7 linked regions of the Callithrix jacchus genome follow. The protein of the gene in region 1 purifies or fractionates together with the protein of each later gene. This does not show direct contact. Links are inferred from orthologs where the notes say so. Each region holds a gene or a part of one and is shown in the gene's direction. Other genes may lie near its edges. The genes, in order: tubulin alpha-1A chain, DNAJA1, TCP11L2, BAG2, DNAJB6, HAX1 and TXNDC9.

What was found.
Region 2: the proteins of tubulin alpha-1A chain (region 1) and DNAJA1 purify together in Homo sapiens (affinity purification with mass spectrometry; 3 studies listed by BioGRID and IntAct, with this or other methods). This does not show direct contact. The link is inferred for Callithrix jacchus from reciprocal best matches to the Homo sapiens genes TUBA1A and DNAJA1.
Region 3: the proteins of tubulin alpha-1A chain (region 1) and TCP11L2 purify together in Homo sapiens (affinity purification with mass spectrometry; 3 studies listed by BioGRID and IntAct, counting the BioPlex papers as one, with this or other methods). This does not show direct contact. The link is inferred for Callithrix jacchus from reciprocal best matches to the Homo sapiens genes TUBA1A and TCP11L2.
Region 4: the proteins of tubulin alpha-1A chain (region 1) and BAG2 purify together in Homo sapiens (affinity purification with mass spectrometry; 4 studies listed by BioGRID and IntAct, with this or other methods). This does not show direct contact. The link is inferred for Callithrix jacchus from reciprocal best matches to the Homo sapiens genes TUBA1A and BAG2.
Region 5: the proteins of tubulin alpha-1A chain (region 1) and DNAJB6 purify together in Homo sapiens (pull-down; 3 studies listed by BioGRID and IntAct, with this or other methods). This does not show direct contact. The link is inferred for Callithrix jacchus from reciprocal best matches to the Homo sapiens genes TUBA1A and DNAJB6.
Region 6: the proteins of tubulin alpha-1A chain (region 1) and HAX1 purify together in Homo sapiens (affinity purification with mass spectrometry; 3 studies listed by BioGRID and IntAct, with this or other methods). This does not show direct contact. The link is inferred for Callithrix jacchus from reciprocal best matches to the Homo sapiens genes TUBA1A and HAX1.
Region 7: the proteins of tubulin alpha-1A chain (region 1) and TXNDC9 purify together in Homo sapiens (affinity purification with mass spectrometry; 3 studies listed by BioGRID and IntAct, counting the BioPlex papers as one, with this or other methods). This does not show direct contact. The link is inferred for Callithrix jacchus from reciprocal best matches to the Homo sapiens genes TUBA1A and TXNDC9.

Annotation. Positions count from the first base shown.
Region 1 is NC_133510.1:70,370,387-70,374,506, forward strand, and holds the start of tubulin alpha-1A chain, read left to right. Parts: upstream 1-1,320; 5' UTR 1,321-1,415; coding exon 1,416-1,418; intron 1,419-3,489; coding exon 3,490-3,712; intron 3,713-3,837; coding exon 3,838-3,986; intron 3,987-4,120. UniProt on the Homo sapiens protein: Tubulin is the major constituent of microtubules, a cylinder consisting of laterally associated linear protofilaments composed of alpha- and beta-tubulin heterodimers.
Region 2 is NC_133502.1:140,224,980-140,228,479, forward strand, and holds part of DNAJA1 (dnaJ homolog subfamily A member 1), read left to right. Parts: intron 1-2,319; coding exon 2,320-2,434; intron 2,435-3,500.
Region 3 is NC_133510.1:109,182,468-109,185,967, forward strand, and holds part of TCP11L2 (T-complex protein 11-like protein 2), read left to right. Parts: intron 1-2,533; coding exon 2,534-2,654; intron 2,655-3,500. UniProt on the Homo sapiens protein: Promotes the migration of muscle-derived satellite cells (MDSCs) during differentiation throught interaction with FMNL2 and therefore may participate in microfilament assembly.
Region 4 is NC_133505.1:65,548,568-65,552,067, forward strand, and holds part of BAG2 (BAG family molecular chaperone regulator 2), read left to right. Parts: intron 1-3,251; coding exon 3,252-3,361; intron 3,362-3,500. UniProt on the Homo sapiens protein: Co-chaperone for HSP70 and HSC70 chaperone proteins. Acts as a nucleotide-exchange factor (NEF) promoting the release of ADP from the HSP70 and HSC70 proteins thereby triggering client/substrate protein release.
Region 5 is NC_133512.1:90,847,109-90,850,608, reverse strand, and holds the end of DNAJB6 (dnaJ homolog subfamily B member 6), read left to right. Parts: intron 1-1,894; coding exon 1,895-2,054; 3' UTR 2,055-3,315; downstream 3,316-3,500. UniProt on the Homo sapiens protein: Has a stimulatory effect on the ATPase activity of HSP70 in a dose-dependent and time-dependent manner and hence acts as a co-chaperone of HSP70. Plays an indispensable role in the organization of KRT8/KRT18 filaments.
Region 6 is NC_133519.1:14,693,611-14,697,668, forward strand, and holds the start of HAX1 (HCLS1-associated protein X-1), read left to right. Parts: upstream 1-1,258; 5' UTR 1,259-1,341; coding exon 1,342-1,394; intron 1,395-1,935; coding exon 1,936-2,186; intron 2,187-2,337; coding exon 2,338-2,549; intron 2,550-4,058. UniProt on the Homo sapiens protein: Recruits the Arp2/3 complex to the cell cortex and regulates reorganization of the cortical actin cytoskeleton via its interaction with KCNC3 and the Arp2/3 complex. Slows down the rate of inactivation of KCNC3 channels. Promotes GNA13-mediated cell migration.
Region 7 is NC_133515.1:8,929,975-8,934,270, reverse strand, and holds the start of TXNDC9 (thioredoxin domain-containing protein 9), read left to right. Parts: upstream 1-1,496; 5' UTR 1,497-1,591; intron 1,592-4,296. Other genes in the region: EIF5B (eukaryotic translation initiation factor 5B), read right to left, coding at 293-327. UniProt on the Homo sapiens protein: Significantly diminishes the chaperonin TCP1 complex ATPase activity, thus negatively impacts protein folding, including that of actin or tubulin.

The DNA of each region.
Region 1 (4,120 bases):
ACTTATTCTGCATAGCACATCATTGCTGAGAATGAAGCCTTTCTAAATAGCAAGAGAATGTTACTACAATTTATTTCCTATGGGTGAAAGCAAAGCCTTTTTGTCCCAAGAGGCAACTGAGCAACCACCAGAGTCTCTAGTTGAATAGCAAGGGTGTGAGGCTGGCTAAAATTCCCACAGTTAGAATCCACCTGCAGGAGGATATTTACCAAATTGACATAAGAACTACATAAAAAGGAAATGCAGTTATTGAGCTGATGTTTCACCGTTGTCTGTGGATGGAGGCAACATAGCAAAATGGTCTGCTTTTTACATTATGTTATTCTCTTCTTTTAAATTTGGTTTCTTGGTAATTATTATTTTGTTTGCTACTTTTCAGACAAAAGTACAATGCATAAATATAACTGCACACATGTAGGACTAACTTGTGAACTCAATTATTTCTCCTTGTATTTTCCCAATTCTATATCAGGAAAGATGATGCATTCCAAGGACAATGTACCACACAAAATGTGTTACATAGACTTCTCATAAAGGAATACCTCTAATAAACTATTATAACTACTCTGCGTTCACTAGCTATTGTTTAGTGCCATATTAGAACTATGTGTTCGCTTCTTTATTTAGTATGGTTATTCTGCCCATCTTCCAGTTTTGTTTAGCTATTTGGGTGTGCGTGTGCCTGCAAAAGAAGGTCTGAAAATAAATTAGTTGAACCTGAGAAACCATTTTGAATGATTGTATTAATAAATATTTTTTTAAATTAAAAAAAATCACATTTACCCAAGCCATTTTCAGCAATCACGCCCATTTTCTCTCCCACTTTATTTTTAAAGCAATTAGAGACGCTGAACCCTAACAAAACAAAATGTAGTCAAGTCTAATATACTACGAGGAGGGGCTGGCAGTAATTTTCCTCTAAATATTGCATCTGAACACAAATTCTGTTATTAAGTGTAGGGTAAAAAAACCCTCATATAGATAATTTTAACCGCAGTTTGAGATTCAAGCAATATAAAGTCTTCCAACCCAGTCCCCTTTCTTCTCCTTCCGCCCCTCCCCAACCCCACCCCATAATGGATGCTCGGCAGACTGCTTCTGCACGGTCTCTTTGTCTAAAGGATGCAAACAGTCTATGGATGCTAGAGAAAAAAGGGTGGGGGAGAGATTACCTCATCCCACGTCGTTTGCACCAATCACCAGTCTCCTGTCATGACTTCTCTGGGCAGATTGGGGGTCTGGACCAACAGGAAAAGGCCCCAGCCCATCCCCATGGCGACCGAGTTGTATATAGGGAGCCGCATCCGCCCATGTGCCTCAGGTTCTCTTACATCGACCGCCTAAGAGTCGCGCTGTAAGAAGCAACAACTTCTCCTCGTCTCCGCCATCTGCTCGGCAGCCGCGAAGCAGCAACCATGGTGAGAATCGGCTTCCGCTCTTTGTGGCGGTTGGGTGGAGTCAGCGCCCCCAGGGTCTACTTGGAAAACTTTTAAGCACTTTTCTTTCGTAAGCTGTCTGGGCGAGGATCGTCGTGTGCTTTAGCTTTGTCTGCCCCAAGTCCTCAAGCCCCGCCGCCACCGCCGCAGTGGGGGTGCAGGATCCAGGCAAGGACTGCGCCCAGGGCTCAGCCAAGCGCTGGGGAGGGACAAAGGCGGCGCCTGGGCGCCTGTGTCGTCCGAGAGCCTTTCGGGGCTGAGGACAGCCCCAGCCTGTCTGCCGCGACCGAGGGGTCTGGGGCGTCCCGGCTGGGCCCCGTGGCTGTGCGCCCGGTTTCGTTGCCCCCGAGGGGCCTCTTCCGTCTCGCGTCGTTCTCTGAGGACCGCGAGAGGAGGAGGTGTCCAAAAAGAGCGGGGACCGTGGAGCTGGGGGATGCGGGAGCGGGGACGGGAACAAAGCGCAGCCTGGGGTTAGCGTGGGAAGACCCCTCGCGGTCGTTGGCGTTTTTTCCCGGGAAAATACAGTGAGTTTCTGCCGGAGCCCCCGGCAGCGGGTGTCAGGGAGGCGCAGGGGCGGAGTTGTTTGTTTCTGGCTTCTAGGGCGATGGAGCCACGGGGCGGGGTTCGCCCTCACTGAACCTCCTCTGTCAGTCGCAGACTTTAAGAAACGCCTTTCGTTATTGCGAAACTGTAGGCTCCAAAAGGGTTCTTCACTATTATATGTTAGATGACTTTTTTTTTTCTTGAGCAAAATCACAATTCACTTGGCAAGCTCTTCAACGTCTGCCCTGACCGACTGGAGACAGACAGAGAGAGCGAGAGAGAGCGTGTGTGTGTGTGTGTGTGTGTGTGTGTGTGTCTGGGTGTCTGGGTGTCTGGGCTGCATGTTCAGCGAGAGAGAAAGCCCACTTTGTGAGCTCCCGGGTTACCCTGATAGTCAGGATCTAGGAAACGCCCTTCCCCGCCGCCAGCCCCCACCACGTCAGTGAATAGACAATGGAAGTGGTAGCCCTAAAGACCACAGAGGAAGAAAACCTCTATTGGATGCAAAGAATATTAATATTATGTGGTAGGTGAAGAATCTCAAGATGAAAATACTATTTTGTTTTTTTAAATAAATATTTCATTATCCTTCCACTGGGCTTTTATTCTTTGGTAGCTTATGTGATGCTTCTTTCTAACTTAGGAACCTTTTTGTATTTTTTTTTTTTAAGATACAGATAATTTTTCAGCTTTTACAATGGAGAAGATCTGGAAAAACCTTTTTTAAAAAAGAAAAGTGATGAAATTGCTATAGACAAAGAAGGATTATATTCTGTATCCCGTTGTCCTTTGTTCTAGTGAATCTTCATTAATTCATTTCAATTCAGGCACATGGTCCTGGGCTGGGTCAGAGGAGGAAAACTGGCAAAACAGCACAATGAGATCATGTAGGCAGTTGCTGGAAATAGAGCTTGCTCTGTTAAATAATGTAGCAGACAGTACAGGCTAGCACCAGGCACTGCAAATACAGCAATGCAGCAATGCAGAAGGCAGACCTTGTCTAGCTTCTAAACCCTTGGTATTGATGGATTCTGCAGACAGACTGCGGAAGGGTGTGGCTTCTTGCCTCAGCGGCAGTACAGATGTCCCTGTTACAATATCAAGTCCTATTCAGAAGAAACTTTAATCTTTATTTAAAAGCAAACAAAGCAGTACAATTAATCCCAATTAAGTCATGATTGGATTTACTTTATTTTACAAAATTTGTGCTTCGAATGCGGAATACTTTTTAAATATGAAAAGTCTTCTACTATTCAAGCAAGGTAGTAAGAACAATGGGCTGGTACCATGTGCTGAACAGGGCCAAGGCGACATTGTTATTCAGACCACACCATATGCAGCATTTGTAGCAGATAATTTTCCTTAATCTTTGTAGCATGCTGGGGATATGACCTCAAATAATTTTGAAAAATACCTGTATGTTATTAGAAATATTTTTAGAAATGTACTCAAAGTTTGAAATGCTAATACAGCTTAATTATACAATTTTTTTCACTTTTCCTTCCTACAGCGTGAGTGCATCTCCATCCATGTTGGCCAGGCTGGTGTCCAGATTGGCAATGCCTGCTGGGAGCTCTACTGCCTGGAACATGGCATCCAGCCCGATGGCCAGATGCCAAGTGACAAGACCATTGGGGGAGGAGATGACTCCTTCAACACCTTCTTCAGTGAGACGGGTGCTGGCAAGCACGTGCCCCGGGCAGTGTTTGTAGACCTGGAACCCACGGTCATTGGTGAGTTGGCCTCGGTAACCCAAGTGAGATCCCAGGGTGCTGGGACAGGAGGTCTGTCCTGGGGGATCTGCTGGTCACTCGCTCACTTGCCCAGTCCCTCTGTCCTTCTCTCCCTCCTCCTCCAGATGAAGTTCGCACTGGCACCTACCGCCAGCTCTTCCACCCTGAACAGCTCATCACAGGCAAGGAAGATGCTGCCAATAACTATGCCCGAGGGCACTACACCATCGGCAAGGAGATCATTGACCTTGTGTTGGACCGAATTCGTAAACTGGTATGTTTCTTTTCAAGAATAAAGTAAATTAATCTGCCTTAAAAGGACATTTGAAATAATGCTGGTTTTTTTTTTTTTTTTGAGACAGAGTTTTGCTCTTGTTACCCAAGCTGGAGTGCAATGGTGTGATCTCG
Region 2 (3,500 bases), on another chromosome or scaffold:
TAAGTGGCTGCAATAGGATTCTATCACATGACTCATGATACTGGCCTCTCTGATCCCCCAAGGTTTTCCACCTAAGAATGTAGTGCATTGAAATGTAAAAGTAAGTTTCCTTGGCCAGTTTTTGAACTTAATAAATCTGTTTTCCCCTTAATGGGCCCATGCCTAGGGTTTATATTTTGAGGTGTTCTTGATACCAATAGCATATAGAGTAAGTCTTCACTTAATGTTGTTGATAGGTTCTTGGAAACTGGGACTTCTGGCAAATTGATCTCAATGTCATGTCACTATAACACAGGGGAGGGGGAAAAATGGTCTTGTTATGTGTCATTTCATTTAAAGCAATTTCCAAGAACCTATCAATGATGGACACTAAGCAAGGACTTTAAATTAATACCCTAACTATGTAGCAAGTGAAGACATTTGTGCTATGCCTATCCTTGTTTTTATTCAGGAAAACCTAGCTGAGTTTAATTGCTTCACTAGCATAACAAGTTATTTTGCATGGATAGGCGATTAAAGACAGATTGTTTAATTTTGTTAGTGTATGATACTGATATTGCTTTAAGTCTTTATATAAGAGGTAAACAGTGAAGTATTTGGGTTAATGGTTATGGTTGGGGTTTACTTGAAAGTATTTGTGGGGGGCATGGGCAGGGGTATAATACATGAAATATTAATCATGAGTTAATAACTGCTGAAGCCAGATTGAATGGATATGTAGAAATTCATTGTACTGTTGGCTCTGTTTATACAGGATTAATATTTTCCATACTAAAAGGTGAAACAAGATTGCTCTGTTAGATAACCAGAGTGATCTCAGGAAATAATCAGGAGATAACTGCTTCGGTGTAATACTGTACAAACACAGGTTTTCTTACACCAGTTATGTTTTAAGAAATGTTGTCCAAACCCTTACTGAACTAAAATATGTGGGTCAGAGGTGAGGGCTGGGGAAATCTTAGTTTTTTAAAAAAAAAGCCTGTTTAAAAATTTCTTGCCCTGTTAGAAAATAAATACTCTCCTTGTATTTTATGGACCATATGAGCTAAGGGAGTGTCTAGTTTTGATTGATTTTTTTTTTCTTTTTCTTTTTCTTTTTTTTTTTTTTTTTTTTTGTTAATTTAAAGGAGACAAGGTCTCGAACTCCTGTGGTCCAGGGTGCTATTCTCAGGCTAGCCTCCTGACTCGGCCTCCCCAAAGTGTAATTTTAAGGGGAACAAATTGAATAGGTTTTTTTTGTTTGTTTTATTGTTTGTTTTGAGATGCAGTCTTGCTCTGTTGCCCAGGCTGGAGTGCAGTGGCACAATCTCAGCTCACTGCAACCTCCGCCTCCTGGGTTCTTGCAATTCTCCTGCCTTGGCCTCCCAAGTAGGTGAGACTACAGGCACATGCTGCCACGCCCATCTAATTTTTTTTTTATTTTAGTAGAGATGGGGTTTCACCGTGTTGCCCGCCCGCCTCTGCCTCCCAAAGTGCTGGGATTACAGGTCTGAGCCACCGTGCTCGGCCAAACTGAATAGTTCTTACACAAAAATACGAATTTTTGGCAGGCACCATGACTCACACCTATAATCCTAACCCTATAGGTGGCCAAGGCAGGAGGATCCCTTGAGTCCAGGAGTTCAACACCAGCCTGAGCAACATAATGAGAATCTCTATCTCTATTTTAAAAAAAATTCAAAAATTAGCTGGTTTGTGGTCCTATCTACTCAGGATGCTGAAGTGGGAGGATCACTTGAGCCCAGGAGATCAAGGCTGCAGTGAGCCATGTTTGTGCCACTGCACTCCAGCGTGCACAACAGAGCAATAGCCTATCTCAAGAATTAAGATTATAGATTTTAAATTTTTCTAGTTTCATATATATAAATACTACAACAGTGAGAAGGGTCTTGATTTACATTGCTGTTAGACTTAAGTAGTTTGATATGTTCTTATAAGTAATGAAATTGAAATAGTTAATTAACATTTTTTGGTTATAACCAATGTTTGCCAGTCACTGGTTTAGTACCAGCTTATAACTGTTTAGTTGATACACTTGACAATCATAATGTGTTGGTGTGGGAAAGTTGAAACTTGGGTAGGATATGCAGCTTACTTTCCCAGAGTAATCCAGCCAGTGAATAGCAGCCCTGAGATTTGAAGGCTGGTCCTTGCTTCTAGAGTTTGTATTTCCCACTATGATACCTTTCTTCAGGCACAGATTGGACTGAACTACTAAGAAAGTGGGCTTTCTTAGTCATTTCTGTGATTTTTATGCATAAACATCTATGTATAGATTTTATTATTCTGACCTTAAGAGTATAAAATTAATGTTTTAAGGCATGAAAGATGGCCAGAAGATAACATTCCATGGTGAAGGAGACCAAGAACCAGGACTGGAGCCAGGAGATATAATCATTGTGTTAGATCAGAAGGACCATGCTGTTTTTACTCGGTAAAGAATTTTATAAACCATTCAAATTGACATCTTTACATATTTGGGTTGTTGGTTTTGGTTGTTTATAATGTGTTTACCATTACTGTTGCAACATATTTCCTGGAGATATGCTAGGAAAATATAGCAAGACAGTTATACTGTGTATAATGTATCTTGTAATAGATTGTTAACCATTGTTTGAATCATAAGAGCTTGAATACATGGGATCAGATTTTTAGCTTTTTGTCTCTTGAGTATGGAACATTGAAAATGTGTTTCAGTTAGATGTTTTGTGTGAACCTAAACACCAAATGGCTGGGGGAAAACATCCCTGGACAAAAGTTTGCCCTCAGTTTTTGTAAAACAATTTAAAGTAAGTGCCTTAAAGCTTTCACCAATTTTCAATCCTAAGTTTAAGATAAATTGAATTGCTTTTAATTGTAAATACCCAAAAGCATCTCTGTAGGAAACTTAAATTAGAACTCAATATTTAAGTATAAATTCAGGTCCACTCCAAAAACATACCAAATGGTAAAGAGCATCAACACAATTAAAAAAAAAAAAAAAAAAAAAAATTCAGGTCTACCATTGTGAACTAAATAATACCAAGTTTATGATGAACTTAACACTGAAGCACAAGAAAGACTGATGGTTAATAGCAAATGTTTGTGTTAAATATATTCACAGCTAATATCAAAACATAACAGACCCTCTGTGTATGCTATATTCCCAGCAACTTGGGAGGCTGAGGTGGGAGGATCACTTGAGGCCAGGAATTCTAGCTATTGGGGAGGCCAAGGCAGGAGAGTGGCTTGAACTCAGGAGTTGAAGGTTATGATCATGCCACTGCATTATAGCTTGGGTGACAGAGCCCATCTTTTTTTTTTTTTTTTAAGTGGACTGGAGGTGAAATTGGGAACATCTTAAACTTGTTTAGAATTATTAATATTTTGGCTGGTGGTGGCTCACACCTGTAGTCTCAACACTTTGGGAGGCCAAGGCAGGTGGATCACCTGAGGTTGGGAGTTTGAGACCAGCCTGGCCAACATGGTGAAATGCCATCTCTGTTAAAAATACAGAAATT
Region 3 (3,500 bases), about 39 Mb from region 1:
GCGCCACCACACCTGGCTAATCTTTGTATTTTTTAGTAGAGACAGGATTTCACCATATTGAACAGGCTGGTCTCAAACTCCTAACCTCATGATCCGCCTGCCATGGCCTCCCAAAATGCTGGGATTACAGCCGTGAGCCACTGTGCCCAGCCCACTTCTTCTTTTTGAATTTCTTTTCCCAGACCTTCACGTGGTTCTTTCCCTCTCCCCCTTCAAGTCTGAACACAAAGGTCACTGACTTAAAGAGGCCTTAAGATGGTTACATCCAATGAAATCAGCACCCTCTCCATAACCGTCCACCACATTGTCTTACTGTATCATTCTCGTAGGTCTAAAATTGTCATTCATTTTTAATGTGTTTGCCTTTTTATCCATGCTTACATACAAATGCAGTCTTTTCACTGCAGTATCTGCAGTTCCTATTACAGGGCCCCACATATATTGGATGTTCAATAAACATTTATTGACTAATACAAATGAATTTTAAAGTTAAAATTTGTATTTTTTATGAAGTAAAACAAAAGACAGGGCATATCTGTACTTTAAATTCAAAAGTGGTAAATACAGGCCATAGTGAAGGTGCTTTAGGCTCAGACAGACCCTGGGGTTTGAATCCTGGCTTTACTGAGGCCATACCTGAACTTCACACTTCCCAAGGATAAGATGGGGACTACACTACTCACTTCAAATGCATGCTCACTAGCATAAAATTGCCTTGCACAAAAATACTTTGATACTATGGAAAATATTGATCTTTCTTCCCTTCAGTTTCTGCCACGGCTAGAAAACGTGAGCAAGGGAAACAAAGTGCAGAGTTAGGACACATTGCCTTTGTTTAAAAATAAAGTCTCAGCCGGGCACAGTGGCTCACACCTGTAATCCCAGCACTTTGGGAGGCTGAAGTGGTGGATGACCTGAGTTCAGGAGTTCAAGACCAGCCTGCCCAACATGGTAAAACTCTGTCTCTACTAAAAATACAAAAATTAGCTGGGTGTGGTGGTGTGTGCCTGTAATCCCAGCTACTCGGAAGGCTGAGGCATGAGAATCACTTGGACGCAGGAGGCAGAGTCTGCTGTAAGCTGAGATTGTGTCACTGCACTCCAGCCTGGGCAACAGAGCAAGACCCTGTCTCAAAAAAATAAATAAATAAAGTCTCATATCACAGTATTAACTATTGATTTTCATATGACCCTCCACAATGGCCACGTTTTTCCTTTTTTGATTATGGCTAACTCATATTTTATCAAATATTTTCCTGGTAAAATCCATCAGGTTTTACCAGGAAATAATAGGAATGCTTATAAATGATTTTAAGCAAGTCCCTCCCTGCCCCCATACTTTCCCAGAAAATTAAAGAGATACAAAGTACCTTGCAGACTTTAGGAAAACTTAAATTTCAACTCTGACGTCCCTTAGGGACCTATAAAAATGTTTTAGCTCATTTCTTGTTGTTCATTCAAGCCAGGTATGTATGGCTTATAAAGTCAAGAGCAAAAGTCCATCCTAGCAATGTTTGCCTTTCTCGTTGTTCTGGAGTGTTCCTGGAGAGTCTCAAACTTTGGAAATGGCATTTATATTGAACAAATTTCCTCATGCAATTAGAATAAGTTTTAATATTTAAAATTGCCGAGTAGAATGTAATATTTGTAGTTACAAACTTTAACTCATGTTTCGAAAGCTAATTTTCCTCTTTCATAGCATTATTGTATATGTAGCTATTTATACTTTAAGAAGAAAAATTAGGAGATATACTTATCAAATTATGAATTCATTCACCATGCATTTGTCAAGTACTCACTATATATCAGGCACTGTGTTAGGCACAATGGTAAGTACCTAGATGGACTTACAGACTCTGCTTGGGAAAGGTATATCTCTGTGGGAAAACAGCTTCATCAGAAATTACAGTGCAGAGACATAGGTGGTTCCCTAAAAGCTGTTGCTAAATGGCATAGGAGTTAGGTAGGAATGTGTATTTTAATGTGCACCTATTTTAAGGCATTGACATAAAGGGTGAAGCCAAGTAGCCACTTATTCTATTGTAAGCTCTTCCTAGGAAGGCTTCTATTTTGGCAGTTTGGTCTGGCTGTCTTTAAATGGGACACCTAAGCTTTAGCTGGCAGGCGTTCAAATGCATGTGCCCTTGGGGCTAATGTGTTCTAGTCCATGCCATGAAATTTCAGCTGGTGAGGAAGAGCAACTTTGCCATCTCATTCCAAAAATGTAGAACAAGTCTGAAGATCTATATAGAAGAGTAGATACATAAATTTTGAAATCTCTTTAGGACAGAATTTTATGAAGTTATTGAAAGCATTTTCAAGGTCTAGGGAAAACAGTACAGAATGCTAAATGAAAAGTACACTCTGTTAATGCATTCAACAAGAAACATATTCAAAAGATTAATAATGGGATTAAGGGCAATTGCTCTGCTTTTTAAAATATTTTCTAAGATTTCTACAGTGAGGATATTTCTTGTATAATCAGGAAAAACAATGATGATTATTTTAAACAACAATCCCTTTCATTGCTATAGTTTGGCTGGTCGCGTGAAGCACATTGTTCACCAGGCCTTCTGGGACGTCTTGGCTTCAGAACTAAATGCTGACCCTCCTGAGTTTGAACATGCCATCAAACTGTTCGAAGAAATCAGAGAGGCAAGTTGCTGTTTCGTTTGCGTCAGTTAGTGTCTTACTCCAGGTGGGCTGCTGTAACAGACTGGCATAGCCTGGGTGGCTTATGAACAATATAAATTTATTTCTCACAGTACTGGAGGTTAGGAAGTCCAAGATCAGAGCACCAGCAGATTTGGCATCTGGTGAGGGCTCATTTCCTGAGTGAGCTCATAGGTGGTGCCTTCTTGCTGTGTCCTCACATGGCAGAAAGGTCAAAGCAGCACTTCAGTGTCTCTTTATAAGGGTACAATTCCATTCATGTGGACCTCACCCTTATGACTTAATCACCTCCCAAAGGCCTCACCTCCTAATTCCATTCCATTGGGGATTGGGTTTCAACATACGAATTTGGTGACAGAAGAAAACACAGATATTGAAAGTATAGCAGTTTTTTCCCCAAAAGATTGTTTTATGTCCTTTAGTATTGGCCACTCTTTTTCACTGGCAGGGTTTACCTTATCCTGCCCCTCCTGGAGTAGAATGAAGGCTGAGAAAATAGTGCCGTGGACACAGCTTAGAGTGATGCTTATAACACAGAGACTCTGGAGTTAGATTGTTGTCCTGGTTTAGTGATGAGTTCTCTCTTTAAGTCTCTATTTCCTGAGTACTTACAGGGTAGTCATAAGAGCTAAATGAGGTGACGGTTGTAATTTTAGTTAACATTTGCAAGGCACTTGCTCTATTTCAAGCACTAGATTGCTCATTTCTTCTTCTTTTTTTTTTTGAGACAGAGTTTTGCTCTTGTTACCCAGGCTGGAGTGCAATGGCGCGATCTTGGCTCACTACAACCTTCGCCTCTTGGGTTCAGGCAATTCTCCTGCCTCAGCC
Region 4 (3,500 bases), on another chromosome or scaffold:
CATTTAATGATAAAATATTTTCTTCATATGACAGGCTTATTTTTTTTCCTAGAATGTCTTTTTTATCTTATTTTGTTAACAACATGATCTGACTGCTATAACTAGTAAATGAAACTTTCCTTTTCAGAATAACATTGTTCTCTCTTTGTCATCTTACAATTGAATACAAACCAAAAAAGTGTTGAAAAATTAATCTCTTCTTTCAGCATCTTCTCTTTACCAGTCACATGATTTACCTGTGTCATTTGTCTAAATACTTATTGGGGTCATGATTTGTGCTTTTAGTATAAGTATTCATTGCCAACTCGGTCTCTTTCTTACATTCTGGGCCCTAGTTTATCTTTCTGAAAGACTGCTAATGTAAAATGTTTAAGTAAATAGGGAATAGTCCTGTAATAGGGCCTGATACTTGCATTACTATTACTCTGTAGAATATTGTAATTTGAGTGTGTTCTCTAGCCAAATTTGTCACGAGATTCTTCCCAGTTCTTTGCTTTTACTGGCTCTTATAAACACAAAGTTTGACATGAGTTTTGGGGGCCGCGGTGGCTCCGCCCAGTTGTCCTGGCACTTGAGGAGGCGAGGCCATGAGTTCAAGGCCAACCTGAGCAACATAACAAGCTCTCATTGATTGACATGTGTTTAATATCTTGAAGAATAAAGATACCTTGTGATTTTACAGCCTGTCAGTACTATTTTGGGGTATAATAGGTGGGTAACCAAAGGGGGAAAAGGCATGTGTGTGCTTGGGGTAGGGGAGGATCCTTTTATGGAATTGAACATGCTAAAACATTGGTGAAGTTGTTCTTTCTGTGCACACTTAAGACAGCAATTAGGATTAGATCTTTATGACCTTGTATTTTCTCAGACCATCCAAATACTGGGGATAGGTCTGTCACTATTTCATTTTGCAAAAGTTGGTGACTTAGTTACTGTAATTCATAATAAGAAGGTGCCCTGGAAGTACAGAACAGGTTAAATATACAATATGTGTATTTTTATGTTGCTCCCATGATTCCACAGCTTAGCTTTTTAGTGACTGGGTATATTCATGTGTATGTATAGTGAGTGCATGTGTGTGCAGTTGAGGGAGGTGGAGAAAGTAGTGCTTCTATAGTTTGAACAGGACTTAACACACAAAAAAACCACAGGGACTTTCCCTTAAACTTGGGAAAAGACAAAGACACTTCCATCATTGCCACTGTTTAATACAGTACTGGAAGACTGGAGGACCTTTTCTTAAAAAAAAAAAAGGTAATAGGATTGGGAAGGAAGAAATAAAAACTACTGCAGATGATACGATCATTAACCCAGAAGAACCAACAGAATCAATAGACTGAACACTAAAATGAGTATATGTAAATTAAGGTCGTCAGCGACGAGATAAACCTACAAAACCAGCACTTCTCAAACCAGTAAAAATCAACTAGAAAATATAAATTCACAACAGCAACAATATCCACAAAGATTACTATGAAGAATACATCAGAACTCTATAGACGATCTGAATAAATGAAGAGACATAGATCACGCCCTTTAACAGAATGATGTTATAAAGATGTCTAATTTCTCTTGATTTTTGAGAAACACAATAAATTTAGCCTAGAGTTTATATGGAGATATAAAAGTCCATAAATAGCTAAGTTATCTTTAAAGAAGATTGAGGGGCCTGCTCTACCAAATAGTAAAATGTAGTATGAGGCTGGTGCTATTAAAAAAAAAAAAACTGGGCACTGGTATAAGAACAGTTAAATATACTAATGCATGAGATAGAGATTTTAGAGATAAACTTAATATACATTTGCTAGGGGAAAGATGGATTGTTTGGTAAATAATGTTGGGGAAAATGGCTATTTGGGAAAAAAAAATAAAACAACATCCTTACCGAACTACTACATACAAGGGTTGATTCTAGGTGGATTAAAGACATAAATATAAGGAAGGTAGAACTAGAAAGTTAATAGTAGGAAAATATGACCAAGGGGTGGGGGAAGACCTTAGGTCAAAACTTCGAAAGCATAAGCCTTAAAGCAAAAAAAAAAAAAAAAAATGGATTTGATCACCTCAAAATAAATGTCTCTCTTTAGTGTAAGACATCCCAGACATGGGGCCTATATGAGAGGATGAGAGATGGTTGCAATATCTGTGTCCAATAAGAATCTCTTGAGTATACATATCAACAAGGGGACAGTAACTCCTGTTTACAAATAGAAAAACAAAATAGGAAAAGTCTATGAACAGGCTAACGATACAAAAAGATGTCTGAAATTATTAGGAAAATGCACGTTAACACTGACATATCAGTGTATTTCTATTAGACTGGTAGTAAGTTGGAAAATGTGGAGTGCTGGTAAGGATACGAGGACTCCTGTGCTTTGCTGTGGAGAGTGGATGAAGAATACAGGTATTCTGCAGAATAATCGTAGTACTAAGTTAGAAGCATAGTACATATACCCCGTGTCTCAGCAATGCTGCCCTGGTATATGTCCTAAGGAAATCCTCACCAAGGTCCAAAAGGGATGTTTATTCATAGAAGTGTTATTTATAGTGTAATGAGAATCTGGTAGACAACCTGATTGTACATCTCTGGGAGAGTGGAGAGGAAAAATCAGGTAGGTGTACGCATGGGGTATTATACAGCAATTAGAAGCAACTGATTAGAAGTTCACATGGGGGCTGGGTGCGGTGGCTCACACCTGAATCCCAGCACTTTGGAAGTCTGCAACGGGCAGATCATTTGAGTTCAGGAGTTTGAGACCAGCCTGGCCAACATGGTGAAATCCCGTCTCTAGTAAAAATACAAAAATTAGCCGGGCCTGGAGGCTGAGGCACAAGAATCACTTAAACCCAGCGGGTGGAGGATGCAGTGAGATCGTGTCAGTGTGCTCCAGCTGGGTGACAAAGCAAGACTCTGTCTCAAAAAAAAAGTACTCATAAGAACCTGGATGCAAAGTGAAAAAAAGCAAAAACAGAATGAGATATAAATTCAAAATATACAAATGATACAGATCTAATAAAAAAAATAAGTGCTATTAGACAAACAGTAAAGAGAATGATTACCTTATGAGCTGAGAGGAAATGGGAGAAAGACAAATGGATAAAAATAGAAAAAGAATTTTAAAGCAAGAATGAAGAATTTTTGAAAAGTGGTGATCTTTAAACTTGATTTGGGCTGAAATGAGAGAGAAAGAAAATTAACAGGAAGAACATCCTCCATACAGTAACTGGTTTTTTTTCCCCAATTTCCATAGGGTTGAAGCTTTGAGAGAAGCAGCAACTGCTGTTGAGCAAGAGAAAGAAATCCTTCTGGAAATGATCCACAGTATCCAAAACAGCCAGGACATGAGGCAGATCAGTGACGGTGAGAGTCATCTCCACAGAAGGGGCTCGTCTTTTACACTGCTTTAAAGAGTTTGTGATAAGTGTGGGTAAATTTTTGCTTGACTTTTGGTATGTGTGCTCTAGGCCACAGCATTTAATGTGAGCCGCAGAGAGCAGCT
Region 5 (3,500 bases), on another chromosome or scaffold:
GCTTGTTTTCCCTGGAGCCCCTTGTCACAGAAAACTTGTGACTCTTGGCCAGGCCTCTGGGTGCCTGGAAGATCCCCCTCTCGTCTTTTTGCGGGATTTGCAAGTCCTGGGCAAGGTCCTTGAAACAGGCCCGTCCTCCCCGGCAGGGCTGACGGCTCCTGCTGTTGCCTCCAGCCGTCTGACTGGTCCCTGCGTGGAGCAGGTCCTGTCTGAGCTCCCGGGAGTAAGCAAGCTTCCACTCAGGACTCAGCCAGGTGTGCGGCCCCCAGGCCTGGGCGGGTCTAGGGCATGATTTTTTTTAGGTTGGAAATGAGCTCTCACTTGAGATACACTCCTCAAAATACCAAACTTACTCGCCCCGAGGCTCCCCACACGCCCCTCAGGTGGGGCATCTCCTGGCTTCTCCCGCTTCCTTTCCTCTGCCTTTTCCAAAGAGCCGCCTCCTGACTTTGGAAGCAGGTCCTTGGTGGCCTCTGCACAGCGGCCAGTGGCACGTAGCCCGCTCTGTTCCTTTCTGTAACTGAGGCGCACTCTCCTAAACACGCAGCATGGAAGGCCTGGTGTTTCACAGCACGTGTATCTTGTGCTGCTCCTGTAGGGCGGTCAGGATGCACCCGCTTGCATGGAAAGCACCCTAAGGTGGCAGTCTCTGCCACGCACAGGCCGCGGGTGAGTGTGGCATGTTGCGTGGCTGCGGGTGTGGACTGGACCTGCAGGCTCATCCCTATCTACATGCACGTCCCCTTCCGTGGAGAGCTGTTGGGTCCGGGCAGTGCTCTGAGGTGAGAGCCACAGCACATTTGAGAGTCCGCATGTGTCTTCCCCACTGTGGTGCAGCATGTGTGCGAGCCACATTTGGTGGGCCTGCACCCTGTGACATATTGGTCAGTGTGGCGGCCATCTGCTGGGCAGGGAAAATGTGTCTGGTTGAAGCCGGGTACCTGGCCCACCTATGGCTGTGATTCTCTGGGGCGAGTCCTGAGTGTGGGTGGGGTCTTGGGTCCCCAAGAGGGTTGTGAGCAGGCTCCTCCCTGTGGGGCATGCCGCCACTTTGGGGGTTGTTGTGCGGGTCTTCAGAGGGTCCTCCTGGCAGGTCGGGGGCCCATGCATGTGGGACCCAGTTCCACCTGCCTGCTGCCGGTCATGAGCCCTGTGCTCAGTCACGTCACTCAGGTTGACAGTTGCCTGACTCAACAGCAGGACCGTCTCCTGCACCCACGTGGACACATGCAGAGTCTGAGACTATGTCGGCAGGGCTGCAACCAGGCCTTTATTGGTGGCATGTTGCATCGACTGTTCAGAGGGTGGGTGTCTTTCTCCCTGCACTTCAGCTGGGTCAGTCAGTGGCCGCCGGTGACTTCGGCAACAGGGAGACGCAAGGTTACTTCCCTCAAGCAAGAAATGGGACTTTGACGCTGGATGCCACAGAGCCCACAAGCATGAGGCCGGTGCACAGCAAGGCTTTGCCTGCAGAAAGGCCTCACTGTGTGGCCAGCGCTGGGGGAGCGGAGGAGATGTTGTGGGCACCCTCCCCACAGGTGGACGTGGCTCTGCGCAAGCCCCGTGTGTGTTCTGAAGGAGGGCCCAGGGCAGGGTCCTGGCCCTGAGGTGTGGCCGTCCCCAGGGTGGGCTTCCAGCTCTGCCGCTGAACTCGGGTAGGGGGAGTCGCTCACTTCTCTGCAGGGTGGTGAAGTTCTCTGAATAATGGGAGCCGTTCTCGACATGCACCTTGGAAAGTCAGCTCAGGCTTTGAGTTTTAGGTGTGGCTGAGGCAGATGACCTCACTTCTTTGCTTTTTGTTCTTAACATGGGGAGATACTTAGAAAACACATTTGGCTCTTACTGGGGAAGCAGTGCTGTTCCGCACCGTGTTTTACAAGCCGTGTTTCCTTAGGATTCAAAGAAGGTGGCAAGAGGAAGAAGCAGAAGCAGAGAGAGGAGTCGAAGAAGAAGAAGTCGGCCAAAGGCAATCACTAGACTGGACTTGCAGGCGCGCGCTGCCCCCAGAGCTGGCGCTCCACCATGCTCGGCGCGCGGCCATGTGCACGCGCTAGGTAGCAGCGTGGGGTCAGGACTGTCTGGCGGCTATACTCGCTCAGCAGGATTATGCAATCACCGATCAGTCAGGGCAGGGGTCAGGAGGTGGGGCTGATGGTGCGGGTGGCGGGCATGGACACTGGGGACGGGGCGTGGCCGTGGCTCTCCATCTGCCTCTCCCAGCACTCAATCTGCCAGAGTTTTCCTCTAGAGCTTCCGGATCCTCTTCATTCTTTTCGGCCATGCAACCACTCCGCATGCTGCTGGGGTCTTTGTAGCATTAGGGGAACAGCAGGGCAGACAGCCGAGGGCTTTCACTAAACCACGCGCTTTCCTGTGGCGGTGCTGTGTTTGGAATTAGAGGGTAATTCAGTAGAGTGTGACTTAGAGAATGCCCTAAGGGACGCACTGAATCCTGGCGGCCAGGGCACCTTTTCCTCAGGGCAACATGGCCACATGAACAGCATCATCAATCACAGCACATGTAAAATCATTCCTGTGCTTCATCTTTTAGTTTCCATCTGCTGGTAGTCCAAATTCAACTTCAGATATTGTGTAGGTCTTGCTAGATTCCACGTTTTTTTCCTGGGATCCATAATTCTTTTTAGCAAAAGGTTTTTGCTCAGCAGCCCCCTCCCTAGTGTTCCTGGGTCACGACTGTGCTGGGGAAAACGGCAGGTCATGACACATGCCCCAAACACCCAGAGATGGCACCAGGAGGTTGAGCCAGTGTTCAGCTTGTGAGCAAAGTCACCGCACTCTGACTAGATGCTGCCCTGCCCACTGCCAGCAGCCCTTTCATTTGCATCGTGTACTGCGGCTTCTCTTTTTATCGTTACTGAGCATGGAGCGGAATTCGGGGTTGCCTTGCCTTCCCTTCTTCCCTGCACGCCCCCCCCCCGGCCCCCGCCGCCCACTGTCCTTCCCTTTCCCATGAGGACCTGCTGTTCCTGTTGCTTTTCCTTTGTCCTCTGGGACGTGAGGGTGCTGTGAGAGGCTTGGGTGTGATGTGAAGACGTCAGCAGTTTTAATCTAGCGATGTTGAAGCTGGGAATTCTTTGTCACTATCTATGGAGCACTGACCCAGGCTTGGGAGCCGGAAACAGGCGCGATCTGTGATTTTATTTAGCACACCTGTTGCCCAAGAGTTGGCTTCGTTTGTTTGGTTTTGGGGGGAGCGGAGTGGTATCTGATGCTTTCTGCGGACAATGTAACTCTCAATGCATCATGTATCTTAAGTGCCACCTACGTAAATAAAACATGAGCATATTGAATACAGCTCACCTGCCGTCCTCTGTAAGCACCATTAAGATGAATTAAGAGTAAAAGCAGTCCTGCAGCATCAGCATTATGAAGGATAAAGTGGCATTTTGCAGGCAGAAGTCTTGTTTCTGAAATGCATCACTGCAAGGTGAAGGTGTGACAATCCCAGCATTTTGGGAGGCCAAGGTGGGCAGATCACC
Region 6 (4,058 bases), on another chromosome or scaffold:
GAAAAAAAAAAAAATGAGGCCAGGCACAGTGGCTAATGCACTTTGGGATGCCGAGGTGGGTGGATCACCTGAGGTCAGGAGTTCGATATGGTGAAACCCTGTCTCTATAAAAAATAACCAAGGTAGGGCTTGGTGGCTGGGGCCTCTAATCCCAGCTACTCGGGGGACTGAGGCAGGAGAATCACTTGAACCCGGGAGGGAGACATTGCAGTAAGCCGAGATGGCGCCACTGCACTCTAGCCTAGGAAACTCTTATCTCAAAAAAAAAAAAAAAAAAGGGACACTTCTTTATAGTCCTCAATTTGTCCCTTCTCAGGATTCAACTAGCTTCCTTTCACTCGCTTTCTTAAAAATCCTTTGGTTGGTTGCAGACAGCCTGCTTAGAAAAAAAAATCCTGGCCAGTCGCGGTGACTCGCGCCTGTAATTCCAACACTTGGGGAGGTCGAGAAGGAAGAATCACGAGGTCAGGAGATCGAGACCATCCTGGCTCTGAAACCCGTCTCTACTAAAAATACAAAAAAATTAGCCGGATGTGGTGGCACGCGCCTGTAGTCTCGGCTACTCGGGAGGCTGAAGCAGCAGAATCGTTTGAACCCGGGAGGCGGAGGTTGCAGTGAGCCGAGATTGCGCCACTGCACTCCAGCCCGGGTGACAGAGACTCCGTCTCCCCACCCCAAAAAAATCCTGTATGGTTATAACAAACTCCCTAGTAGCTAGAGAGATGAAGTCTATGTGTCACTTATGTCTTGATCTCTTCTCTGGGGAATTCAATACTAAAAGGAGCTTGGAGAAACATTTTTTTGTTCATCCCTCTAACAGCAGACATCACCCAGGTCAGTCAAAAGCTTCGGAGTAAGGGGCGAGGTGGTTTCGGCGGTGAGGCTGGCCAGCACCGGGGGTGGGGAGGTTTGAGGGATGCCCTCAAGCCGGCCCATTTGTGCGGCTGGGAGGCCCTCTGGCGGCTTTATCCGGGTGCCTTCCAGAGTCAAACCCTCGAAATTGCTTTCCGGACCGAGTTGGTCTGCAGAAAGGAGAACAGATTTAAGAGGAAGGCGGTCATAGGTAAACTGAACGTCCGTCACGCCCACTCCTGTCACGGAAACTGGCCTCTAAAAGGTGGGGTAAAGATAAAGCCTCTGAAATTTGAGGAAGACCTTCCGCTCTGTCTCCCTTTCACGTCCGACTTACAGTCTTTTACGACAGTATTCGGATCGCGCGCGGGCTTGCTTTCCGGCAGCGTGGGCTGACGTCTCGCTCGTTTTCCTACGGGGCTGCGCAGGTTTCACTCTTCTGCGAATCGGCCAGTGGAGGGGTTTAAATGTTCGAGTGCCAATACGGGAATGAGCCTCTTTGATCTCTTCCGGGGCTTTTTCGGCTTTCCTGGACCTCGGAGGTGAGAGTAGGTCCGGGTCGGACAAGGGTGAGGTCGTCTGAGAAGAGTTTGACCCCTTACGTCTTATTTTTGGGAAAACATCCTCTGGCCTACTCCTTCAACCCCTGTGAAGTCGTAACATTGAGCACTCGCCCCGCCACAGTAACCAGGGTGGTCGTTAAGAGGAGAAACAGCAAACTAAGCCTTTCTCCAACCTGGGGTGATGCAACAAGGACCCGGGCGGGATAGACAATTGGGGTCTGGGGAAGAGGACAGCGGGCTTGTGACCAGGACCTTGGGAGAGAGGGGAGGGGCTGGGGCACACTTAAGGAAAACTGGGGAAAGGTGTTTGAAGGGAGTTGCGAGCTGAGGTCTGACTTTGATAAAAAACAAAACCAGAACTGTCGGACATTGTATTAATATTTTGATGTGGCAGCCAGCCCTCCGACCCTCTCCCCAGCTTCCCAAATCGCTTGCTCTTGTCCCACTTTGCCACCCATGAGTTGATTTTATGGCTTAAGTCGTGCTGAAATCTTGGTGGCCAATCTGCCTCCACTCTCAGCCACAGAGATCCCTTTTTTGGAGGGATGACTCGAGATGAAGATGATGAGGAGGAAGAGGAAGAAGGAGGCGCATGGGGCCGTGGGAACCCCAGGTTCGATAGTCCTCAGCCCCCTGAGGAATTTGGCTTCAGCTTCAGCCCAGGAGGAGGGATACGTTTACATGATAACTTCGGCTTTGATGACCTAGTACGAGATTTCAATAGCATCTTCAGCCATATGGGGGCCTGGACCTTGCCTTCTCATCTTCCTGGTGTGTGGCTTTCCCTGAGGCACAACCTGTGGTTTCTAGTGGGTTGGTGGGTGAAATAAAGAGCCTGCAGGGAGTAGCTGGGGGATGGGACGTGTGAGAAGATGGATAATTTCAGGGAGATGTATACAGCCCAAGTTCTTTCCCACCCCAGCAAACACCTGCCACCTTTCTGCAGAACTTCCAGGTCCTGAGTCAGAGACACCTGGTGAGAGACTGCGGGAGGGACAAACACTTCGGGACTCAATGCTTAAGTATCCAGATAGTCACCAGCCCAGGATCTTTGGGGGGGTCTTGGAGAGTGATGCAAGAAGTGAATCCCCCAAACCAACACCATACTGGGGCTTCCAGAGACCATTTCATAGGGTGAGTATCCCATCTGGGCCTGAAGTGAGAGCTTGTGAGAGACTACTAATTAAAAGTGCAAAGATTGGCCAGGTGCGGTAGCTTAACGCCTGTAATCCCAGCACTTTAGGAGGCTGAGACAGGCGGATCACCTGAAGTGAAGAGTTAGAGACCAGCCTGGTCAACATGGTGAAATACCATCTCTGCCAAAAATACAAAAAATTAGTAGGTTGTGGTGGCAGGCACCTGTTTTCCCAGCTACTCAGGAGGCCAAGGCAGGAGAGGGGCTTGAACCCAGGAGGCAGAGGTTGCAGTGAGCTGAGATCACACCATTGCACTCCAGCCTAGGCGACAAGAGCAAGACTTCATCTCAAAAAAAATAAATAAATAAAAGGCCAGGTGTAGTGGCTCACGCCTGTAATCCCAGAGACAGGAGGATCACCTGAGGTCAGGCATTTGACACCAGCCTGGCTAACATGGTGAAACCCCATCTCTAATAAAAATAAAAAATTAGCTGGATGTGGTGGTGTGCCCCTGTAGTCCCAGCTACTTGGGAGGCTGAGGCAGGATAATTGCTTGAACCCAGGACAAGGACATTTCAGTGAGCTGAGATCATGCCACTGCTCTCCAGCCTGGGTGATAGAGTAAGACTGTCTCAAAAAAAAAAAAAAAAAAAAAGGCCAGGTACAATGGCTCACGCCTGTAATCCCAGCCCACTTTGGGAGGTGGGCAGATCACAAGGTTAGGAGTTCAAGACCAGCCTGATCAACATGGTGAAACCCCTTCTCTACTTAAACTACAAAAAAATTAGCCAGGCATGGTGGTACATGCCTGTAATCCCAGCTATCTGGGCTGAGGCAGGAGAATCGCTTGAACCCAGGAGGTGGAAGGGGAAAAAAGGTGCAAAAAGGGTGCAAATATTGGACTTTTTTTTTTTTTTTGAGAACGAATCTTGCTCTTTCACCGAGGCTGGAGGGCAGTTGCATGTTCTCAGCTTACTGCAACCTCTGATTCCCAGGATCAAGTGATTCTCCTACCTCATCCCCCTGAGGAGCTGGGATTATAGTCACCCCCCAAACACCCAGCTAATTTTTGTATTTCTGGTAGAGATGAGGTTTCATCATGTTGGCCAGGCTACTTTCGAGCTCCTGACCTCAGGCGATCCACCTGCCTCAACCTTCCAAAGTGCTGGGATTAGAAGCATGAGCCATTGTGCCTGGCCAAAGATTGCATTTCTTGTTTGAATCTGATAGCTTTGGGTTGGAATCCTAGCCCCCCATTTAGTGTGTTTATATGTTTTCTATATTAAGCTCATGGGGTTTTTTTTTAGAGGGAAATGGGTGTTCTGTTTCTTAAAAAAACAAAACAAAAATACCACTGGTCTACATAATTCTTGGATAAGGCAGGATTGTGCACAGAGGATAGGAATATATTAGTTGAGGAAATTTTTCTGGTAGAAGGATATATAAAACAGCCAGGAAGGAGGAAACAGTGGGTAAATAGAGCTATTCTGAATGGAATTCTCTGTCC
Region 7 (4,296 bases), on another chromosome or scaffold:
TCCGACCCTCCCGGCGCGGCCGGGAACCCTCAAATGACTGTCCCGCTCCTCAGGCCGGGGAAAAGATAGCTACGGGACCGAGGCTCGGCTGGGAGGATCCGCCCGCCGTCTAGGCCCTAAGTGCCCGCCCGGCCCGGGGGCGTGGGCCCGCGCCGCCCAGTCTGGGCCCTGGCCCAGTGCCGCACGAGAGTGGTCGCGAGCCTGGACCCCGATCCAACCCCGCGCCCGGCGAGACCCGCACACCCCCCAGAGCCACGGCGGCCGCCGCCGTACGCACTCAACCCCTAGCTACCTGTCTTCGCTCTTGTTTTTCTGTTTCTTCCCCATTGCTTGTCAACTGGCGCTCGGCCCCTCTATTCGGTCTCCAGCAGACCCACTGTCTCCTGGCTCACTTTGGTCTCCGCTCAGCTCCTTTCCCCAAGTGCTGCCGCCGCTCGCACCCGGCTCTCCACAGACCCGCGCACTGGAACAGGGCACATATGGTGTGAATTCTCAGTGCGCAAGCGCATCGCCCCGCCGCTTCGGCGTGAGGACGCAGGGCGCGGCTCATCGAGAGCTGCGCTTCGGGTAGAGCGTCTTTAGTTGACCCGTCGGCCAGGCAGGAGCCCGAGCGCCCCCTCCCCGAAAAGCGTCCGCCACAAGCCGACGCCCGCGCGGATTCCAGGTTCTAGAACCCGGAGGTGGACAATGAAGCTGTTAGTTCTCCAACCCAGCCCTCTCCCGACGGGTAACGCACGCTTTGATTCAGGAGTAGGCCTGGGCTTCCCTTTATATCTTTGTATTCTCAGCTGTACGAAGTTCAGTAAAGAACGATAATGAGTACTCTGGGGTTTGCGAGAGAGAGAGACAAATCCAGGACAAAATAGGAACCTCTCAGTAACATCCGTGCATTATGCATTATGTACAGTCACTGAATAAAACATAGAACAGGACATACCCGATCAATTCCCTAACATAGGTCTTCATTTTTATGCTCAAAGCAAGAGCAAGTTCTAAAAATTCCTGTGTTTAGGGGAGGCAAGGGGGAACCTACAGGAGTAGTGGAAAATGTTCTATATCTGGATCTGGACGGTGATATTTTGCGTTTTAACTATGCAGAAGGTAATTGTGCTGTATGTGTTTATGCCTCGACTTTAAGAAAAAGAAAAATGTTCATTCAACAGAACGGAAACGCAGTTCGAGCGTCATTGCTGAGCAGGAGTGCAGCTGTCTCATTTCCAGTCTCGCGCACTGGATCGTGAGTTCTGAAGCACCGTCCTGAGAAAGTCCGACCACGCCAGCCTGCGCACTAAAAAACTGCAACTCCCAGCATGCCTTCCAGTTCGGCCGTGTACCGGGAGAAAAGCAAGGGCCGAAAACCTCGGGTTCCGGGCTGCTGAGCGGCAGGCGCACGCGCAGAACTGCTCCCACCCGCTCTCCCGCCCCTTCCTCGGGCGTCCAAGGTGATATCGCGCGAGGTCCGCAGCCAATACGGAGGCGGAAGTGACGGCTGGTTTGTAGCTGCCGGCAGGTATTGCAAGGCTAAAGCTAGAGTGGACCTCTCTTTTGAAACTGCTGCTCTCTCACTTCTCAGGCATCACCGAGAGCTCAGGTGAGGCAGAGGATAATGAGCAAAATCCGACCACTACGTCCGGGTGCTGGTGGACACTACGTTGCTCCACATCCGGAGCGGGGGGGGGCCCCGAGGCCCCGGCACCGGCACCGGCACCGGTGTTGGTGTCCTTCGGAGGCTCTCGCACATGCGCACGAGCAGGCGTTGAAGTTGGGGCCGCCGGGACTGTGCCCTCCCCCGTCTCCCCGGGCACTGGGTTGCCATTGGGGAGGTACCTGGGTGCGGTTAGGGACCAGGCCCCTTGATTGTTTTGGCGGATACCTGTAAGGATGTCCAGGAAATGACTAGGGAATTTGAGGACGCGCTGTGTCCCACCTTTCCAGCGGAGTAGTAAAAAGGAAGAATCAGAGGCTGTGGTTTGACGAATAAAAAGCTAACGGAGTTGTTGCATGGTCTGCTTACCCGGTTCTCAATGCTCTAACCACCAACACTTACCCCCAGAATACCTGCTCTTAATCGCTTCTGTTTCCATTTATCCCAGAATTAAATTCTGGCCTCATCCTTAAAGCATTCTCTGTGCTTATCTCTGGAGCACAGGTTCTAATGTATAATTCAGTAACTTATTTTCTCCTTCCAGCCCTCTCCCTGAGGGTCGCAGTCCTACTGACATTTTCCTTGGGCAGTAGGAAGTGTGGAAATCTTTTGCTATTTGAAATACAGTACCTTTCCAATTTTATAGCACTTACAAGGAGCTTACAATTTGGTTTTTTAAACTCAAATACTTTTGAAACTTAACAGCGTAGTAATTTGAACGGAAGCGAGGCAAATGTTCATTCAACATTAAACATGTTTATTGAGTACCTTTTGTGTTCTGTGGCGATACAAAGATGAAATCAAGTATACTTTTCAAATGCTTTTCCTGTAAAGAAGAAGGAATCAGAATTGAAGTTTGCAAGAATATTTCTCTTCAGCTCAGCGTTTATAGAGGGCCTGTGTGGGTCATGATCTGTGTCAGAAGCTGAGTTAATGAATTCACACTCTGTTATGAAATTTTGGGTGCTTCGGTAGTATTTGCAAACGTATCGTAGTTTATAGACATGCAACAGCCTTCTGCTTTGTTAGACAAATTATAAATAATTTCTGGGTTAATAACCCCGAGAGACACATAAAATTGCCCTCTAATTGTTGGTATAAAATATTCCCATTTCTTTTAAAATTAAAGTTTCTACTAATTGCTAGTAGAAAATGCTCCATTTCTTTTAAAGCATATAGTCATGTGTCACGTAAGGACATTTCAGTTTTATGAGATTATAATACTGTATTTTATTGTACCTTTTCTATGTTTAGATACACAAATGCCATTATGTTACAGTTGCCTACAGTATTCAGTACGGTAACATGCTGTACAGATTTGTAACCTAGGAGTAATAGGCTGTATGGTATAACCTCGGTGTGTAGCAGGCTGCACCTTCTGGGTTGTGTAAATACAGTCTATGGTTGGGCGCGGTGGCTCACGCCTGTAATCCCAGCACTTTGGGAGGCCGAGGCAGGTGGATCACGAGGTCAAGAGATCGAGACCATCCTGGTCAACATGGTGAAACCCCGTCTCTACTAAAAATACAAAAAATTAGCTGGGCATGGTGGCGCGTGCCTGTAATCCCAGCTACTCAGGAGGCTGAGGCAGGAGAATTGCCTGAACCCAGGAGGTAGTTCTCCTGGGAATTGCAGGAGAACCTCTCCGAAGGTTGCAGTGAGCTGAGATCGCGCCATTGCACTCCAGCCTGGGTAACAAGAACGAAACTCCGTCTCAAAAAAAAAAAAAAAAAAAATACAGTCTATGATGTTTGAACAACATCAAAATCACCTAATGCACACATTTCTCAGAATGTATTCCCATTGTTTTATGGGTTTTTGTTTTTTGAGACAGGATCTAGCTCTATGGCCCAGGATGGAGTGGAAATGGTGTGATCTCAGCCCACTGCAACCTTGGCCTCCTGGGCTCAAGCTATCCTCCTCCCATCTCAGTCTCCCTAGTAGCTGGGCTAGAGGCTCACACCACCTTGCCTGCTAATTTTTCTATTTTTAGTAGAGACAGGGTTTTACCATGTTTGAGACCAGACTGGTCTCAAACTCCTGAACTCAAGCAGTCTGTCCAGCTTGGCCTCCCAATGTGCTGGGATTACAGGTGTGAGCCATGGCACCCAGCCTAGAATGTATTCTCATTGTGAAGTGATGCATGACTCTAATTGAGATAGGTCTTTCTTTCTAATCTGGATTAGTTATATTTTGAAACTCTTATTTTGCACAGAGGAGTGATGATGGGGAAAAAATTTTTTTTAAGTGTTTGGAGTGTTTTACATCAAAGTTAAGAACACTGTCAGTAAATGGAAACCAATATTAATTTTTTAGCCTCGTCGATTTTTTTTTGTTAGGTAATAGGAGAACAAGAATGGACATTGATGCTTAGGGAACACCAGGCACTGTTCTTTACATAAATGGTAATGAGACGTTTTAGGAAACTAAATGTCTGGAAATGAAACTCATTTGGGTAGTGACTGTGAAAAAAATCTGTGTTTTGCTCAACTCTACTCTGTGTCTGTTTAAAGTTTAATATATATATTTGTAAAACCACAGTAGCTGTACCTTCCTATTGTTCGCAGTTGTTTCTGATTTCTCTTTTCTGTTGGTAAAGAACACTGAATGTCCGTCTATATCACTAGGTATAACTTCACAACTCATTTCTC